2 linked regions of the Coturnix japonica genome follow. The protein of the gene in region 1 interacts with the protein of each later gene in a biochemical or structural test. Links are inferred from orthologs where the notes say so. Each region holds a gene or a part of one and is shown in the gene's direction. Other genes may lie near its edges.

Region 1 (10,171 bases):
GACATGTGCTAAAGGAATCATGGACTCCTTGTGCAGCTAAATTAGCAACAGATAGCATTCATTTGTATACAGTGACAATAATGAAAAGATGGTAGTTATAAATACCCAAAAGGTTATTTACAAGAAAAACTCACCTGTATGGAAGCCTTCAGTCTGCTGAGAACCACTAAGGCAATCTCCACCAAGGAGCAATCTGCAAGAGATGCTGCCTTAGTGGTGGTCAGCCCTTAAATGAGGTCTAGAGGAGGTGGAGTCAAGCTCCACTGCTCCTGGAAGCACAGCTAAATTACTCTCACCTGTGCTCCCACAGCTGACCCAACACTTGCCTCAGCTGATTAATCAGAGGTTCAGGCTGTGATTACCAATTTCCCATACAACTTGCAATGGAAAACTAAGGAGGTCAACATTAACCTTTCCTCTGCTCTTCTGCCTTCTTTGTTACCTGTTTTGTTCCAAACAGCCTACACTCCAATCAGTTCCTACCCTCCAAGTGTTTCTACCAGTGTTTTCCCAAAAACCTCCCCCTTCTTCCCACAGCTCCAGCAACTCAACTTTATAGTAGATGGGCATGCTGGAAACTGGATCAGCTCAGCATACACAGACATTAGCTAAAGTGAGATGATGAGATCTTGATCTTGAAATCAAACACCACACACATGCAGTCCCAGGTTCCTGCCACCACCAAAACTATTCATCAGATGAATGTTTGCTAGGCTCTCCTATGACAGAAAGACATTTAGAGAGGTGTAAGATTTATTTTAAATTTTTCAAGGTATGGAAATCACTCTAAAGAATGTTTTCTGTATGATGGGAGCTGACTCTGAACCAGCAGGCTGTGCTGATAGAAACACAGTATTTACCATCACAGTGATTATCCCTGGCAGCCAACTTCAGGCTACAATGCAGGCACTTGGAGCTACAGCTGGCCAAATCTCAGAGGGTATTTCCCAAAATTATTCCCTGAAAATTTCTCCCCCATTGCCCCATTTTCAGTCTGAAAGCAGTTACTGGATTTAGTGTGTTTTTTCTTTTCAGCACTGACTTCCACCTGGCCTTCTATATCAATTTTTTCCTCCATGTGTCACAGATAAATTCCATTTTCCACAGGGAAGGAAAAGTTCCCACCGAGAGACCTCTACCTGCCCTGGGCTGGCCTTGCTCACCCTGCAGCCACATCCCAGCACGTGGTATCTCAGCTGCAGAACTGTCCTCTTTACATTTGCTGTGCCTGATTCTTTAGTAAAGTGCTGCCAATATCATTAATCAGGTTTTGTAGTTCTTAAAGCACCAGAATGGTTTGGGGCATACCCACAAATTATAAAGTATGTGGTAGAAGAGCAAATAGATAAGAAAAATGTCACCATGTTCTGGCACAAGGGAGTTGCTATCAGTGCAATGGCACCGATAACCAAGGTGCTGTCAGACCATTTCCCTGTTGGTCCCAAAGCAAGGAAAACAGCACAGAGCATGCCTGCACCTTCAGTGCTGCACCCCAAATCCCACCTCTTCTGTGTCACTGAGTGGCACTGAGATAAGGGCAAAGGATGCAGCCTTGCAGAAAAGGAAGTAGCATGTTCCCACCAAGGGACAGGGATTTCCCTTCCTGGGCTGCTGCGTTCACAGGAAAAACGTGACTGATGCAGCAGCAGGATTCTGTATTTCTAACAATGGGGGTTAAGCCAAGTCACCAGTTTCCTTGGGCTAATTGAGCATGTAAACTGCCTGCTTGTAAAGCCTGTATTTGGCCTAGATTTATTGCTTTTAGCAATGATTAATGTCCAAGAGCAGGGAGGGCAGACCTGAGTTGCAGTTCATTAACTTTAAGGGGGGCGATGCTGGAAAACCATTTCTATTTTTGGTTACTTTGTTCTAAGGTACCTATGAATTTAGACCTACTTTTGTAATAAAGTGCTCAGGGAGCCCAGTGAATCTTCTTATCCCTGGCAGGTACTAAACCTGTAGGGTTTTGTTCTCATCCTGATGAGTAAGCAGTTTTAGCTGGTTCTGAGAGCCTATAAAATGATTGAAGACTGCTCTGCATGGGAGTTTGTAGCTAAGCCTCCATCCATCTCAGATGCAGAGACCAAAATGGAGGACTTGCCATTCGGTTTCAGAAAAGCATCTTTCATTTTCTGCCCTACCAGTCACCGCTGGGTCAGTCTGCTATGAACTGCAACGGCCATCACGGAGACATGGAGGTATTCCTGCCTCCCTCTGTATCTGTTTCAAAACTAGAGCAATGCAATGCTTCTTATACTGAAACGTCCTGGACACTTTGCTAACCATCCAATGTAACATCTGCCTCCCTCCACATGCATTACTTGCAAACAATCTGCTTCTGTCTCTTTATTTCCTTAGGAGAATATCCCTTAGTGAACACGGTTGTGAGGCCCTGGAGCACAGCTTACCTTCTTTTCTCCCCAGAAATACTTGTGCTGTACGTTAAGTCATACACATACAAAACACCCTCTCTCAGCTCCTGCACTGCCAGACCACAGCGGTCCTATGGAAACTGGCAGTGAATATGTGATGTTGAAAGATGATTTTGCTATAAATCAGTCCCTGAGGTGGCTTCAGAAACTATCTTTGTGTTGCATTCTGCTCAGTGGTGTGTTGACTGGACCGCTTAAAATGTACATTTCTCTGTATTACCACAATAAATATTGCCTTGTGTGTCACCAGCGTCAGCACTTCTGACTACTCCAGATTGCCATTTGTGGTCTGCCACACCTCGCAGCCAGGTGCCAACCTTTCTGGATCTCTGTGCCACCCCTCAGCCTCCACAGACCCTGGGCCGGGGGCAATCAACCTGCAAAGCCATGCACAAGGAACCACTGCCCAGGATAATCAGGCTGGCAGCTGCAGAGCTAATGAATTTGCCCCTGAGGCTTAACTGTAAGAAAAGTAATTAATCTTGCTGGGTTTCACTCATCATCAAGCAAACTTTCACTGATGAAGAAAACTGCTGAGCTCTCCAGTTTGCTCCGCAAGTCAACCTCTCCCATTTGGAATCTGTGGGTAATTGGTACATCATTACCATCCCATTTTATCCAAATTCCCCAAGAGACCACAGTGAAAGGAATGCAGAGATGCTAGTGAAGGAAAGGGTTTTTGTGGCTCAGACTCCCACTCCTGAAGAAGTTCCAGTTTTACTTAGTGTCCTGATTTTGGTCAGGATGCTGACTGAGAGGAGAAAAACAAATACCCTGGAAGGGAAAGAAGAATGTGCAAAACAGCTGCCAGAAAGTTTCAGAGCAGCTGCACACGAGATGTTCTCCCAGCCTTGCCTCTGAATCGGCGTGAGTCAGGGCTGAAGCCAGCTCCAGTCCACATATGGTCTTAGCCTCAGCCATGGGCAAGAGATGAAAATACCACAGAAACATAACATTGGCACAATCTCAAATGACTCCAGGCATGTGACCTACCCGAGGCATCTGTTTTAGTTTGAGATAAACTGCACTCGAGCTATCTGTGCAATGAGGAGTCTATGCTGGCTGGCAAAGGAGCAGCCACTGCTGCAAGATGCCCTTTGCAGCTGAGCTGGTGGACATTGAGAAGTGCTGCTGAAAGCCCCAAGTGAGTGCAGGGTTGGGAATGGCCAGTGGGACTGCCAGAGGATCATCCAGACCTTAAATGGGCAGCAGGATCAGAGCTGTGCAAGGAGCTGCCCGCCTGTGTATATAGCTCAGGGCCCAGCTATAACCCAGTCCTATCAGCAGCACTGCTGCTGCTCTGGCTTAGCGTGCAGCTGGGGCTTCTTGTAGGAGACACTGTCTGAGGCCTGGTCCGTGCCTTTTGGTTGCTTTTCAAAGGCTGGAATTTATTGTTGAAGGTTTTCTGCTGTGATCCTTCAAGGTTGCTGCCCCACAGTGAGAAAGGCAGGTCTGGGAAACTGGCATGTGTAGAGAACATCCACCAGGGAGCAAAGAAAGATGATGTAGCACCAAGATCAACACGAGGAGGGAAGAGGATTGGGAAAAGAGATAAAGAAATGCAGTAATTGAAAGGAGACACTCAGAGCACTGAGTCTGTTCCGCTCATCGTAGGCGTTTTCTCACATAGGTTCTCACAGCCTTGAAGCTCCTCACCTGCAGACAGGACAAAGGGGACAAGTGCAACGGGAGTGGAAAATGAGATGTGGCCCAGGCTGTATTATGGGGTTATTAGCAACGTGCTGTCAGTTTAACCTGACCTCCCTTTTTAAAATAAGTCAATTCTGGCTTATTTCATTTTCATTTAGAATAACTATAATCAACAGAAACAGAGTAACCTGCAATCGTTCCCTGCACCGCCTTTTAATTTGGGATGGATTTACACGACACGGTCCAACTGAAACCCATTTATTTGGCTTTCCTGAGGACACGAGGCTGCTCAGGAGCCCGGTGCTGCTGATGGGCAGAGCCGGCACGCACCGTGCTGTCTGCTGGGGATGTACCAGGCACAGAGCTCCAAACCTTGTTGTGCAGTGCCATCTTGAGGTTTCGAGAGATAAAAGCGCTTTATACGAGACTGCGCTGTGTTTTTATCGTGCAGAAGGAGCAGGTGAAGTTGGCTCTCCTTGCTGCGGGACAAGGTGCGCCCTGTGGGCCCGACAGGACGGTGCTGGAGATGCCCCGGGGCGGCACCGGCTCCTGTTGGAGCCTCCCGTGGCAGCGTGCTGCCCGTTCCGTGCCCGCAGGAGCCGTGTGACTCGGCCCGTCCCTGGTGCAGCCCGGTGCAGACGCCGCCCGGCCGATGCTGCCGTCTCTCCGCTTTGCGCCTTCCCTGCCCGGCGCCTGCCCCGCTCTGCCCCGCTCTGCCCGGCTCTGCCCCCGGTCTATTGGCGGCCAACGCCACCCGCCCCGCGGGCCGCCTGGGGCGGAAGCGCGGTTCGCGCCTTCCCGCGGCCGCTCGGCTCTTTCCGCCACCCCTCCGGGCCGCTTCGTTCGTTTCCGCGCCCGCTCGGCTCTTTCCGAGGAGGCCGGCGGCGCGCTCGGCCGTTCCCGCCGCCCGCCGCGCGTTCGGCGGTTTCCGTGAGCGCTCGGCGGTTTCCGTGCGGGCCGCGTTGCGCTCGGCGCTTGCTCCCTGGCTGGCGCTCCTCAGTCGGCCGCTGCCTGCCTGTCGCCGGGCTGGGAGCGCCTGTGTGTGTGTGAGTGACGCGGCGGAGGTGTAGTTTGACGCGGTGTGTTACGTGGGGGAGAGAATAAAACTGCGGCGAGATCCCAGGCGCGAACGAAAGCAGTGACGGAGCAGCCCGCAACCGGTAAGAGGAGGACGGCGCCCAGCGAACAGGGGCGGGGGGGAGGGAAGGAAACGGAGCCCGGCGGGGACCGGGGCGGCCGGCGGGCGGCGGGACGCGGGGAGCCCGGCCTCGCACCGCCCGCGGGAGGGGCGCCCGCCTTAAAGATGGAGCCGAGCCCCGCACCGTCCCCGCCGCCGCCGCGCCGCGAACAAAGGATAATGGCGGATCGGAGCCGGCCCCGGCGGCGGCCGCTCGGCCGGGCCACTCCGGCGGCAGCCAGCGGCGGCGCTCGGCGCGGCGGGGAGGGCCCCGGCCCCGCGGCGGGAGGACGAGGACGGGGGGCGCGGATCGGCCGCTCGCCCGTGCTGCGGGACGCCCCTCCGCCGCCGCCGGGCGCTGGCGGCGCTGCCCCGCTCTTCCTCCCCCGGCCGGGCCGGGGCCCCGCTCCCTTAAGCCGCCGGCCGACAGCCGCGTCCCGCGGGGCGCCGGCGCGGCCCGAGCCCGGCCCGCCCGCAGGAGGCCCCGCGCCGGCACCCGACGCCTCCGAGCGGAGCCGGGCGCTCCGGCGGTATTTTTAACCCGCGGCGAACCCGATTCCGGCCGAGGCGGTCGGTCTCCGCTCGGAGCCGCCGGTGCCGGCGCCCCGCGGCTCCGGGTGCCGCACGACCGGCGGGATCCGACCTCTGTCCGTACCTTAATGGCAAATGTCAACGACGGCGCCTTCCCACGCCACGCCGGCTCAACCGCCGCCGGTGCCGCAGCTGCGGGCCGTTCCCGCCTCGTTCCCTAGGACAGAGGACTCGATTCCCGCTTCCAAACCTGGATAACCGCATCTCTGTGCACGGCAATAAGTCCAAGTGACGTGGCAAGCGGATCTTATTAAAAATGTTTTTCAACCGAAGGTTATTACGCCTCCCAGTCATACACAAGGAGATACATATATTTTATTTTTGCAGACCATATGGCTTTTAATTCCAGATTTTTATTTTTTAATTCTCCCTTTTAAGCATTGCAATGCTTCTGGAGTAACACTGTTGTGAAAAGCAGCTCTTCCTGGGGTTAGAAACAATTTTCCTGTTTCTTAAATAAAGGACTAGAAACTGACCTAGGGTCATTAAGCAACTGCAGATCCACCGTGAGCACCAAGCACTCCTTAGAAATTCAGCACCTGTACTCGGTCCCTTCCCCACCACCAGCAAAGATGTTTGCTTTGGTTTTTTAAAGCAAAATTTAAGTCACCAAAACAGGTTTTTGGTCAAGACGGATATTAGTGATTCACAGAAGCACATGGACAGCCTGTCCTTCCTTCTGTGCAAATCAATGTGTTCTGTCACTTCCACCACTGTCAACATAAACGCCAAGGGTGTTCCACATCTCTTCCCACTCTATAATAGAGGGTTCCTAAAGCCATAACTGAACAATGCGCATCTGTGGGTGTTGGCGGGCAGTGGAGCAATTGGTGGTGATTAAATGATTTGTAGTGGCTGGTGTATTTCATTAATTCTTGGTTTGCTGGAATACGCACTTCATTTTAAATACAACAATGTGACAGTAAATCCTTGCGTAGTACTTTCTGTAGCTTCAGAAACACAGCACTTTGTCCCCTAAACATGCTGTTTCATAACAGCAGAGGACTCTCAGATCCACGTTTTCTAACCCATACACTGCACCCACACGAGCTCTATATCCTCACAGGTCAGGTTGGGAAGAGCAGCAGACAGGAGGTTGTGTTTGCTACGTATCACTGTCAGGTGACTCAGGGTCAGATATTTAAGTGCAGGAAAGAAGAACATAATAATGTTTAATATTTCATTGATAGAGTATAAATGTTAAAACTATTTCTCCCACCTTTATATCTGGATCTCCTGTGTTATATCTGGATCTCCCATGAGCTGTCTGCATCTGATTCTCCCCCATGGCTTTGGTGATGAGGTGCCTGCTGCCCTGGGTGCAAGGGATGATCTGACAGGGAAGAATGATCTGTTGATAGAGAAAATTTAGAAGCATCTAATTTAGGTTGTCAAGTCATCAGTCTACCCCTTCTATGGGAGCGTGAGCTGGTGCAGCTACTGCTGGTCCTGAGACCCAATATACAATATTCTGGAAAGTAGCAGTCGGGCTGTGCTCAGAGGTGAGCACTTCTTACCCATGTGCAGGCTTTGATAGTAGATGAGGCCCTGATGGGGAATTTCTATTGACACCCTAGTGCAACAAATAGGATATTCACACCTCGCCTCTATTTTTGGATCTCTTAGCAAGTGGAGATGGGTTACTCATGCCATGCTTCTAAAGGCTTTGCTGCAGTGAGAAGGCCTTGCCAGCTTTCTGCTCATCATCAGTTTCATTAAAAAGACAGTGTGAGAATAATATAAGGATGGTGGTTGTAAGGTAGAAATAATACAAAGATGGTAATAATACAAGAGGGATAGTGACAGATATCCAAAAGGTTATCTATAGGAAAAACTCACCAATACAGATGCCTTCAGTCTGGCTGGAAAATAGGCTGGTTATCCAATCTCCACAGGGGAGCAATCTCCAAGAGATGCTGCCTTAGTGGTGGTCAGCCCTTAAATGAGGTCTAGGAGAGGTGGAATCAATCTCCACCCCTTCGGGGAGCACAACTGAATTACCTTCACCTGTGTTCCCACAGCTGACCTGACACTTGCCTCAGCTGGTTAATCAGAGGTTCAGGCTGTGATGACCAGTTTCCCACACAGACAGTAACCCTCAGCAAGAGAAACAGCCCTGCTGAGTTGGGCTGGAGCTCTCTGCTTCCTTGCCTGCTTGCAGATGGAGGTTCATGTTAGTGCCCTGGTTTTTCTCTAATTCAAGAATGGTGTGGCCTCATCTGCAGTCTGTGCTGTCACACTTCACGGTGATGATGCAGACCTGACCACCTCGTGGTTAGTGATTTTCTTTGCACTTCTCCCAGCACTGAGGCACTGACACCTATTTTATTCTTCAAAACTTGTCTGTTGTTTGGTAGCACCGTGGTTAGAAAGGTGAGAAGAAGCACAACACTTTCTGGTTTTGCGTGCTTCTAGAACTGCCGTGTGAGCTGTGCAGATGAGATGCCCCTGGCTCTGCTTGCTCTCTGGGCTTTGCCAGGTAGAGCAGCATTTGCAAACAGGGATTTGCTCATGTCATGCTGCTGCCATCGCTTTCTGGCACCACAGAGTCCAGAGAATCCACATTTTGAGTAAAGCATTTTGAGGAGCTCTGTTACTCTGTGTGCTTTATAAACGTACATACATGTAGTTTTAAAGCAGTACAGACGCCTGTTAGCCTCAGTGATTCTAAGCAAAATGCATAGCTCAAGGACTTCTTTCACCCCTGAAGAGACGTGCCCTAAGATTATAAGCTTACATGAGAATGTTTTGAGATTTGGGTTTTTTTGTTGCAATGTTTTGTTACAATGTTGTTTTGTTACAATGTAACAACAGTTCCAGAGATGCGAGAGTCCTTCCAGTTGCTCTTCTGTTCCCGTCACTCACTCCAGGCAGCACTAGCTACTCTAGGTAAAGCTGTGAAGACCTTACAGCGTGCTATTTTAAAGCTGCCTTCGTGCAGGAGCATGAAACTCAAATGTCTGCCCTTGAGGTTTTCACACTTTTTGGAGAAGAGACTTGAAGTGATGTGTACAAAAGCCTTTGGTCCTGTGAGTGCTGTCCCGGTGGCAGCCTGGTTGGTCAGGGAAGCTGTCAGTAAAACCTTTTTCTCCCACACTTGGAAGAACTGTAAGTCTGGGTCGTGTTTTCCTCTTCTGTCAGGCTGGGTTGTATTTCCCCATGCCAGCACCCTGCCCTAGTTGCTGCAGGGCTGCATGGTGGCTGTGCCAGCACATCAGGGAATGGATGGGACTGGGAGAAGCAGGAGGGGCAGCTTGAGCAGCAGTTCTGCCAGATGGGAAAGTGCAGCCTGCACAAAATTCTCAGATTATTGCTGTATTTATAGCCAAGTTGGATCACATGGATCTCGTTCTTTTTGCTGCAGCACTTGATCGCTTCACTAAGTTTAAGTTTTTATATGTGTAAGATAGTAGGAGTGAATGAACATGGGCTGCAGCTGCTCCCAGACTTTAATACCGTGTACACGTACGGTTTGTTACACCACTTATTTACTTTGCTTAAGCACCTTCCACATGTTTAGCAACTATTGTGTTCACTTCCTCTGCGCTGTTCTTTGTTGTTTCTCTGCTCTAACTCCTAACCTCCCGTCCCTGTTCTCTGCAGTGCCTTGCTGCAATCTTTTTAACCATCTCTCCAGATACAGCACAACCTGCTGTTGTGTTTTGGCTCGAGTATTGCATGTATTTTTCTGGTAGATACTGCCCCACTCCTTCTCATTCTTTACCACTATTCAAAAATCAGTCTTTCCCTTGTACCCTTCCAAGAGATGAATGTGGAATCTCTTCCCATCCAACTGATCTTTTATACCCCTTAGAATGATAGATGGGAAGCAATATTTTCTTGCTTTTCCCTGATGGCTCTTTCTCTGGCTCTGTACAGTTGGCCCCGTCTCAAACTCTGCTGGTGCCTGTCCACTCCTCCAAGAGACTTGGAATATACGCAGGGTTTGTAAATTAAAGCCTTCATATGTTGTGGAGAGCATTAGACAAAAGTAGGGCTTCTGCTCCTTATGAGACTCATCCAAATTATTCTCTTCTGTACTGATAGGAGCATTCTGGGCAATACTGAGGGAGGGAAGGCGTGGAAAAGGGCAGTGTGCAGAAACACTGCAGTGTGGTACCAGCAGGAGCCTGCTGCCCTCATTTTGTCTGAGCTGACACTACTGTATGTGGCTCTCAACAGACAGACATCTTACTCCTTCCCTTTTTTCTGCTCCTGGTTGCGTGGTGTTTGCCCATCCCTGGTGCAGGCTGCTGTACTGTTGGTTGTACAATTTAACGAGCCTGTTCAAATCACCAACGTGGGAGAAAACCGTTGTCAG
Region 2 (10,156 bases), on another chromosome or scaffold:
CTTACACAAGAAAACTAGCCAGGAGTATGCAGTAAAAATAATTAGCAAAAGGTATAAATATTCTATAAGACAATAAAAATATTTTCTTTGCTTACTGTCACCCATGGATTAGAATAATGCTCGCTACGTTTTTGAAGGTGGAAAATTAACTTGAAAATAATTTTCTCTTTGACATACCTCTGCAGTATCTACAGAAATGTGTAGTAACTTTATGACCTTTAAAAAATTCTGAGAGTTTTTGGAAAGAAAATATTGTTGTTGTTGGGGAGGACGCAAGAAGAAGGGCTTTTTCCTGGTTCGTACTTATGTTCTACCCCTAATTTTGCTCCAAACCAGATAAGGATATAAGGTCCTCCAGTCTTTAGAACTAAGAGAACTAAGTGTAGGTTTATGGTAGCTCCCTTTCTTAGACAACTCAACTGATTTGCCTAGGATGTTGTTTTTGTAAAGTATGTGCAGTATATGTAGGTCTAATTAATTTGAATATGAATCTGTGTAAAATATAATTAGAATGTAGAGTTTTGCTTTACATCTGTTTCCTGGATGCTCTGAAGGCAGCATTTCAGTGGAGACAGCTGATTGACTTTGCTCATGGATTCCATCTGAGCTTCTTCCAGAGTAGATGCCTCTGGCATTTTCTGCCCAGAGGGAAGTAAGGGGTTCTTCGGGGGCTGACTATACTTTTAGCTTCATTTTGCTCAGTATTCATTGTTAAATATGTTCCAGCATGGTGTACAGTGCTGGCAGAAAAGACAAGGGAAATGTGCAGATATTCCACTCACAGATTGATAGTTCATTGTGGTCTATTTGTCCTTTGCATTTGACTGTACCTGTGCTTTTCCAGAGAATAGAATTAAATGTCCACTAGACTTAAGCATTTGATCACATTCTTTTTGCATGGGATAAGTGTAAGAGGGCCAGTTTTGAGGTCTGCTATGATTAGTGGTGACATCATCAAAACTGTTAATGGGGTCTATACAGAGAGATTCAAATGACCAGGTGGCAATTGTGGAATTAATTTACCTAAACACAGGTATTGATGCAGTGCCATTTTAGAATCTAATGGTGTCCTGTGAGTCCTCCAGTTTGAGTCAGTCTTGTGACTGCTATCTTTATGTAGATATCTTCCAGGCTCTCCTATGCTTTGGCAACTGAATCCTGTTTGAAGTGCATATTTTGGAGTGGGATAGTTCACCCTGAAAGCTTCATTAACCAGAATTTCTCTTGATACGTTGGGACTTCATACGTGCAGTAGACACCTAGATTGGATATTTTAATCTGAATTTCTATCATAAATCTGCACTTAGAATTTTTTTTCTGTGGTGCATGCAGAGCTGCTGATCAGTACTTCTGAAGGAAAGTATTTCCTTAATCGTAAGGAAGCACTTCCTTAATCTTAAGGAAAAATCCACCTAAAATAATGGAAGTATTGATTTTGGATAACAATGATCGAATCAGTACTGACTTTTCACATAGGCCTAGACTTTTAGGAATGACATCCCTAAATGATGTTACTCACAGGTTCTTTTGCTCTTTTTCCTTCATCTTGGTGGACCAGGCTAAATGAAGGTAAGGAGTGGTCTGTGTACAAACATTTTTCAGGGTTGCAGTCTGTGAGCAGATGCAGAGCATGTTTATGTAGTTTCTAGAGGTAGCAGTGAATCTGTTCTCCAAATGACAAGACACAAACCAGCCTTGAAAAAGAAACTGTTAAACTGTAAATAACATTGCTCTCAAAAACACAGTAGCTCTTGCTGATAGAAGTGTAGTAGGTTTCTAATAACTTCTTTGCCTTAAAGTCAGACAGTCTTATACTCCTGTCCATCAAAGATACACACAACCTGAATCCTACACCTAGGCAAATCTATTCAAGGTACTTGGGATGAAGGCTAAAATGAATAATTCCTCAGTGGTCATGCTTTGTTAGTACAGCTGGACCTATCCAACATTTTAATGTTTTTTTCTGTTTGTCTTGAACCCCAGTGAAACAGCAGGGTCCTGTAAGCTTCCCTGAGTTACTGTTTCAGAGCTTCCATTTCTTTTTCATAATGCTGTCTGTCTACAAAACTGAGATGCAAACCATTTATAGAAAGGAAACACTCAGAAAAGTCCAGGCACATATTTCAAAGATTTGTTTACTTTACATTGAGCCCTTTTAGCCTGTTTCCTAGATCCACCTTCTCCTAGTAGTTCCTAGGAGGGAACGATTATCTAAGATGGTTTTTGAATTTGCCAAGGACCTGAAATCACTTCCAGTTTAAACAAGAAAATCAACAGAGATACAAGTGAAACAGCTTAGTTTACTTCTTGATTTTCTGCAGCCTGCAGAAAGACAGAATTTTTCTGTACAAAATTCTCATTGTGGTTCTGACCCTAATTAAATAACAACAACAACACAGAACCATTTATGCAACCAGAAATGCAGAATGTGTGGTGAGAGAGATGCTACCTGTGTTATCTATTCGGCCATTCCCTAAGTTAGTACAGGACCAACCTTTCTTACTCAGAAGGAGAGAGTTTTGACAAAAATATTCATGTCTTTTTTTGCCCTAAAATTGTCATTGTGTCTATTTAAAGGAAAACAAAGTGGTGTTCTCCGCAGTCACTATTCATGTGGGTTGTTGTAGTGTTCAACATGCTGAAATTTTTTGACTATGGATACTTAAGAACTTCAAAGGAAATTGTGAGATCATTTTTTACTTTGGAGCAAGACTCTTATTTCTTCTATTTCATATTTTTATAGTCATCTGTTTAGGATTTCCTTTGTATTGCGTAGCTTCTATACAGACCATGTTACAGGTTTTATTTTTTTTCTAGTATGAGCTTATTATTTCTACGCAGGAGTGGCAGTATTCATCTTCTATATGAATGGAAAGAGTTGGGGCACTAATTTGAGTCTTCAGGATAAAGCTGGGCTTAAAGATATTTGTAGGATCAGAGGGGAAATCAAATTGGCCTGGTCTAAGGGAAAGGTTTGTTTTAGATAGAAACTGTTTTGTAAAACGTTTTCTGCTTTTCCTGTAGTAATTTGCAGTTGCATCAAAAAAGTCATTTGATTTGGGTGTGGCATTTCCTAAATGCCCTAACTTGCAGGGTTACATGGATAATTTTGCTCAGCTTCTTTTGAATGTGGTTTTAATTCTATTCAAGGGGTTGTAATGTTAAAAAACAAAAAAACAAAAAAAAAGCAAACACCTGAATAGCCAACAATTAAAAAAAAAAAAAATAGGTGTTACACTTTGAATGTGCAACTTGCTTGGTAAAATTGGTGGAAAATGTTTTCTTAATTTTTTTCAGGATGGAAGCAAACACCCAGAGAGAAATAACAGCTCTGAAACTCTGCGAAGGACACCCCAACGTAGTGAAGTTGCATGAAGTTTATCATGACCAGGTATTTTGAAGCTATAATCAGCATTTGCCAAACACATTACTTTGTGTTTTCCAAATGTGTCTAGAAGTTAAGCTTACTATTATTGCATAGACAACTTATTTCCTAGGGCTTTTGTCAAATTTTAAAACAGAAGTTTATAAACATGAGGGAAATCAACTTTTTACACAGATAGTGATAGGACAGTGGGGAATGGTTTTAAAAGTAAGGAAGGGAAATTTAGATGTCAGAGGGAAGCTCTTTTCTTCGTGAGTGGTTAGGCACAGGTTGACCAGGGAGGTTGTGGATGCCCAGTCCCTGGGGGTGTTTAAGGCCAGGTTAGATGGGGGTACTTAATCTAGTGTCTGGTGGCCTTGTCTTTTCCAGAGAGGTTGAATTTGATGGTCCTTGAGGTCCCTTCTATCCCAAGCTGTTCTATGATATGATTCTGTGATTCGGATTGGATCTTAGGAAAAGGTTCTTCACTAAGAGCATGGTCAGGCACTGGAACAGGCTCCCCAGGGAAGTGGTCATAGCACTGAGCTTGCCAGAATTCAAGAAGTATCTGGACAGTGCTCTGTGACATGTGGTCTGAATTTTGGGTGGTCCTGTGTGGTGCTGGACTCTGATTCCTATCTATTCTTTCCTACTTGGGAACACAATATTCTGAAGACCAGAAATTTTCTGGTCTTGACATTTCTGCAAATTGTCTAAAGAAACTCCAGTTTTTAACTTAATCTGTCACTTTGATCAAATTCTTTATTAGTAATCCAGCCTTAGAGTGTTACTTAGTTATGTTTAGTGAGCCACAGAAAGTTTGCTAGTGAAAATACCCTTATTCTTTCTAACTTTTGGCTGTTCTCAAGGCATAAAGAAAAACTGCAAGGAAGGATATCTGAGAAGTACTACTAGCAATAGAACTAATAGACACATTGTGCTTCTGAGGGAGTCTTGCTGCTTTCTGTACACACAGCCATCCTTCTGCTCCTTAATATGCAAATAATGTGCAATTTCCTTTCCTGTATATTTCTGTGAAATTGATTTTTATTTTTATTTTTTGACCTGTTCCCTTGAACACACTTTTCTTGGCTTTCAAATGTTACATTGGTACTGTATTTCAGGGGAAGGAAGTGCTCGTAGCCATCACAGGCCAACACCAATTGACTTTTGAGAATGCTGATTTCACTTTCTGGTCCCAGTAAAGCTTTCTGAGAAGCATACCATTTGTTCAATTGAAAGACATTTGAATTGCAGTCATTGTGTGCTAATGTGTATATTTCTAATATCCCATCTTTTTCTCTATGGTTTTTAGCTTCACACTTTTCTGGTAATGGAATTACTGAAAGGAGGAGAATTGCTTGAACGTATTCAGAAGAAGCAGCATTTCAGTGAGACAGAAGCCAGTCATATTATGCGCAGACTTGTTTCAGCAGTGAGCCACATGCATGATGTAGGAGTAGTCCATAGAGATCTGAAACCTGAGGTATAGTGACTTCCTTATACATGTTTCAGTATTAAGCTCTTAAATTTTTCTGCAGTTGTTTCTTAATTTTTATAAAATGGTATCCCTTCCACAGGCATTTCTCTGTTATTAGGTAAAAGTAACTGTTGGGAAAGATTTTGAGTGTTGTTAGAAAGAAAAAGTACACTATAACATGTTTGAAAACATTCTTTACCTATTTGGGGAACAGTTTATACTAAGGGTAAGTATACTTGCTGTATGAAGCACTTCATAAGTAGAGCTGGGCTGCTTGCTTACTTTGTGCATTTTCATGTTCATTTAGTTACCTTAATTCACTTGCTGGGGCTTCTTTTGAAAGCAACTGCTACACCCTGATACCATCGTATTCTCCAGTTAAGCACAAAGTGAAATACAGTCTAGCACAGCTGACTAATGGAGATGCGTGATTTGTGTTCAGTGACTTAAGTAGTTTCTGAAGAGGAAAAAATCATATTATTTCATATGTATTTTTAAGGAATTATTGCTCTGAGTATTAACAGTATTGTGCTGCAGCATCTTGCCTTCAAGACAGTTTTGTTTACTATAATGCAGATGACCACTGGTTTTGTTCTGTTTCCCAGAGACAATGTTTGTTCCTTCTAGTGGTTTTTGTTTTGTTTTGTTTGCTTTTAATTTCTCCTAGGGATGGTGTAGTTTCATGTTAGTTTGTCCAGCAAGGACATTATATTGTATTGGTGATTACAGTCAGCATATATCATTAAATAGCTACGACATTTGTATCCGGATTTAAAAATGATCTGTGGTTCCTGCTGTCATTTCACCTTTTTGTAACATGCATTCCAATACTCTACAGATGCATCCCTTTTATAGTAGTTAGAATTCTAAGTGTAAACTTCTAGATGTTGGTATTTAAGTGCTAAACCTATGTTTGAAAGCATCTCTGTACTGAAAAAGCAGTGAAATAAAGAAGAGCTATTGTGAAATTCTAATATATCAGTTAGGAATATGACTTTTGAAAAAGTTTCTGCTTGTACCATCAAGGAAATCAAACAGCTTTTGAAACAAGTCCTTGTTGAAGTAACAAAAAATAGAAATCCATTTTCACTTCCTTTTCTCCCAGTTTTATTCTTATTGCCAACTTGAATCTAAAGGCCTGACTCTGTAAAGCTGGGCTTCTTTCAGCCGTGTTGTAAGTTAAAGCAGTCTTTGGTTCCATATCATATTCAAGAAGAGAAGCCATGAAAGTGCAAGTAATGAAGGGTTAGCAAACAATTTATAGAATGCATTTCCTTTACAGAGTTGAACTTAACCAACCTGTCTCCTTCCTCTCCTTCCTGCTTTTTGTTTTGAGAGTTACTATTTTAGATTCAGGCATGAACTTAGTATGGGATATGCAGTTTTCCCAATATAGATGTGGTTAGTGCACCTTTCTATAAAAAGATATATAGAAAACTCTGATGCTCTAACAACTCCAGTCAGATTTGTTTTGATGTTCAGCTTTGGCATCTGAACTGTTACTAGTAAATCTGCTTTTAAAAAATGGAACTGGTTATGTGTCAATAAAGATGGGGCTTCTTTTTACTAGTGTGGACTGGAAGGTTCTTCTGTTTAAGCAGCAGTAATTAGACCACATATATTGCTTTGCACAATAGAGGGTATGTACTGAATTAAAAAAAATAATAATAATCAGAAATTACAGAAGAATTAATGGAGCATATGTGACCACTTGAAACCTATCAGTAGAGGATTTAGGGATTTTTTTTTTCCCATGAAGTAATCAATAATCTGTGAACTGGGCTCTAAGGATATTAGGAAAAAATATACCAAGACATAACCACAAAATTATAGGAATTGGAAGGGAGCTCTAGAGTTCATTCAGTGCAACCACCTGCCTAAAGCAGTCTCCTTACAGTGAGCTGCAAGTGCTGTTGACTGCAGCTTTGGGGTTTTGGTGAAGTACAGTTTATTTACCTAGTCAATAAAGGAATCTCAACCCAACTTAGGACTGTATCTTTCTTTCTGTACATAAGCAATTTCACTTTCAGCTCAAGAGAGATCTTTATAAACCAATATTGTTAAAATTGAAATTTCCACAGTGCATGTAGCATATATCATCTTTTATCCATGATGAATGCTCTCAGGTTCTCCTTGTTGATTTTCTTGCAGTCTAGGAATTGATTTTTTTTTCTCTCCTCTTATTAATGAGTTTGAAAATAATTATTTCATGTTCAATCATTGATCTTTTGAATTAGAAAAATACTTATGGCTGTAGGCTTTCCTAGCATTGAAGAGATCAAACAGTGAAGGTAACAGCAGAGCTTTGCTCTCCTCTGCTCTCTCAAAAGTTCAAGGAGAAGTAGAAATCAGTAATAATTAATCTCTGCCTCAGCTACTTTTCATAAGCCTCACTCTTGTATATCCCTTGAGAAGTGCACACAGAGAAAAGAATAGATTATCTTAAATCTTCTCCTGAACTGATGACAGCTTGTCTTTCTTCAAAGCTGAAATGCTGTATTCCATATGTAAAGCTGAAATTCTCGGGAACAGCTGAAATCAAGTTTTATTACTTTTGTTTGATGTTCTGTTCTGTAGTAATAAATGTAGAAGAATACCTAGTAGGCTGTTCTGAACAATTTTCTAATTAATGCTAATAATTATATTGTTTGCTTTTCAGAATTTGTTGTTTACAGATGAAACTGATAATTCAGAAATAAAAATAATTGATTTTGGCTTTGCTCGTTTAAAACCACCTGACAATCAGCCTCTGAAGACTCCATGTTTTACTCTGCATTATGCTGCCCCAGAGCTCTTTAATCACAATGGTTATGATGAATCCTGCGATCTCTGGAGTTTGGGAGTCATTCTGGTAAGTGAATGGGTTTTTAATTTATAATTTTATTATACGTATTTACTGTTTAGTAAAATGCAAAGAATTCAGCACAGTTTTGGATTTGTATTGGGTAGATGGTACATTCAAGTAATGCTGCTCAAATAATAGATTCCAAAAACAGTTATTTTCTGGGAGTGGAGATTATTTTTTTTTTTTTTCCTAAGTAGTAAATTTAATTCAGTATTTTTGGGAGTTGAAAAAAACACTCAATACAGTCTGGTTCTTAAAAAGAAACATTCTTGTTAGATTGTACAGGCATCCATATAGTCTTCTGAGAGTTTTGGTTCAGAGTAGGAACCAGCCTGTACTGCAAAATACAGAAAACTGTTTTCAAGAGAAGTAAGCTTGGTACAAATACCATCATGTTTTGACTGAGGTTTCTGTAACTTACAAATACTTTTTCTTATAAGGGCTCAATTGATAGTCTTGTGTGTTTAGCGCTTTCTATAGCTTTGAAAATGTGCTAGTCAGTGTTCTATTTTATACTGCTGGTGATGCTGTAGAAACAGCAGTAACTGCCTATGTATAGTTTTCAATAAATATGTTGTTTGTTAATATTATTTTGTTCTTGTGACAGTATACGATGTTATCAGGACAGGTACCATTTCAGTCTCAAGACAAAAGTTTAACATGTACTAGTGCTTTGGAAATTATGAAAAAAATAAAAAAGGGAGAATTTTCCTTTGAAGGGGAAGCTTGGAAAAATGTTTCTGAAGAGGCCAAAGAGTTAATTCAAGGTAAGTAACCATGAATACTTTGTTTTTCTATTTCCAAAGGTATCATTTATAGCACTATCTGCTACCTGAATGCTGTCTAACCTGACAGAGTAGAATGCACAACTTGAGCTACGAGTTTTGCTCACAGTCGGACATATCAAAATGAGGTTCAGAATTCTACATATGCTGGGCATAGCTTTCTAATGTAGTAAGATGTTAATAGAAGGTTAATGTTTTCATTTCCTGGGGTAGGAAATAACTGAAGAGGTTTTGAAAAGTTGAAAATAATTTTAAAAGAATAAAAATAGTTGTATTTTGGTTATGTGAAAATGCCAGGTTTGTTGGTGAGATACATATTTTAAAAGTAGAGCTTTATCAGAAAATAAATGCATTACTGTCTTTTCCCTTCAACTGTGTCTTTGTACAAGTGTGCCAAGACTGCTGTATTTCTGAGCTGTTCTGTTTGCATTTGCTATGCTTTGTGTTTCCTTTAACCATTTTAGGCATCGAATTAAGGCATTCTAATATGAAGTTGTGAATCTGTGTAGAATCCGGCTTAGGAGGAGTCTTCATGCCAAAAGTGTAGGCATATCCAGATTCAGATTTTAGTGGACTGTGCTGAGAATCTGGGGATTGCTTTCTTGGATTTCATTCTAGACAGGTTTTAAGTGACTGAATCCTGTTATTTTAGAATTCATGTGAAAAGAGATGAGTTATCAAACATGTAACAATTTCTTGGTTTTAATGGTTCTGCTACAGTGAATGATGGCATAACATTGTGTGAGCTTTATTTAGAATAAACATTGGCCTATGTGGGATAAATATTGTCATGACTTAGTTATCAAAGCAATGCGTTGTCTCTTAAAAGAGGGCAAATAGTTCACAAGTGAAGAGAATGTAATATATTTCTATTAGGGCTTCTGACAGTGGATCCAAACAAAAGAATTAAGATGTCCAGTCTGAGATACAACGAATGGCTTCAGGATGGCAGCCAGCTGTCATCTAACCCTCTAATGACTCCTGATAACTTGGGCTCTTCAGGTGCTGCAGTTCATACGTATGTCAAAGCCACTTTTCATGTAAGTTCTAAAATAATCTTTTGTTATGTAGTAAATCATGTAATTTGCTAATCTAGATTTCTGTAGGTTTTCTTCTTAAATAAAAATGTGTTTGTCCTTGTAATTCAGTGATTCCTTATAATTGCTTTTTTTTTCCATCTGCACCAAACGTTTATGAGTAAGTACAGTGAAAATAAAAATGATGAGACAAAAATGAATTTTCACTTTTTTGTATAAATGAGGTTTTTTGGGTTGAGAGGCAACTGCTAATAAAATATCTGTAAAACTATTCTGTTTGTGTTAATATTATCATCTTGCACTATGTGCTTCATTGAAAGCTTTAAAATATATTGAAAGACCTTCTAGCTTTTGTAGAAGGGAGAAGAAAGTTTCTGCTTAAGTCACTGGAATTCTTATCCTTCTTATAGTTACGAAATCAAGATTATATATGTCTGTACATTATGTATTTGTATTTTAAGTATCATGGATACTTTAAGTAGACTTGCTCATCTACCAATATTTGTTTACTAAATAAGTTTGAATTTCAGCTGTATTGTACAAGCATAGTATTGACTGTCATTATTCCTTTTACAGAAAATGAACTGAAATTGAGCATTTCTGTGCTGAAGTACTTGTATGCACTTATAACTAAGCAGAGAAAAA

What was found. The genes of interacting proteins can lie anywhere in the genome.
Region 2: of the proteins of CREB1 (region 1) and RPS6KA5, one has a biochemical effect on the other in vitro, tested with the Homo sapiens proteins (3 studies listed by BioGRID, with this or other methods). The link is inferred for Coturnix japonica from reciprocal best matches to the Homo sapiens genes CREB1 and RPS6KA5.

What each region holds. Positions count from the first base shown.
Region 1 is NC_029522.1:10,659,300-10,669,470, reverse strand, and holds the start of CREB1 (cyclic AMP-responsive element-binding protein 1), read left to right. Parts: upstream 1-5,023; 5' UTR 5,024-5,242; intron 5,243-9,144; exon of another isoform or gene 9,145-10,171.
Region 2 is NC_029520.1:40,021,996-40,032,151, reverse strand, and holds part of RPS6KA5 (ribosomal protein S6 kinase alpha-5), read left to right. Parts: coding exon 1-51; intron 52-3,297; coding exon 3,298-3,391; intron 3,392-4,679; coding exon 4,680-4,850; intron 4,851-7,503; coding exon 7,504-7,695; intron 7,696-8,296; coding exon 8,297-8,456; intron 8,457-9,350; coding exon 9,351-9,514; intron 9,515-10,156. UniProt on the Homo sapiens protein: Serine/threonine-protein kinase that is required for the mitogen or stress-induced phosphorylation of the transcription factors CREB1 and ATF1 and for the regulation of the transcription factors RELA, STAT3 and ETV1/ER81, and that contributes to gene activation by histone phosphorylation and functions in the regulation of inflammatory genes.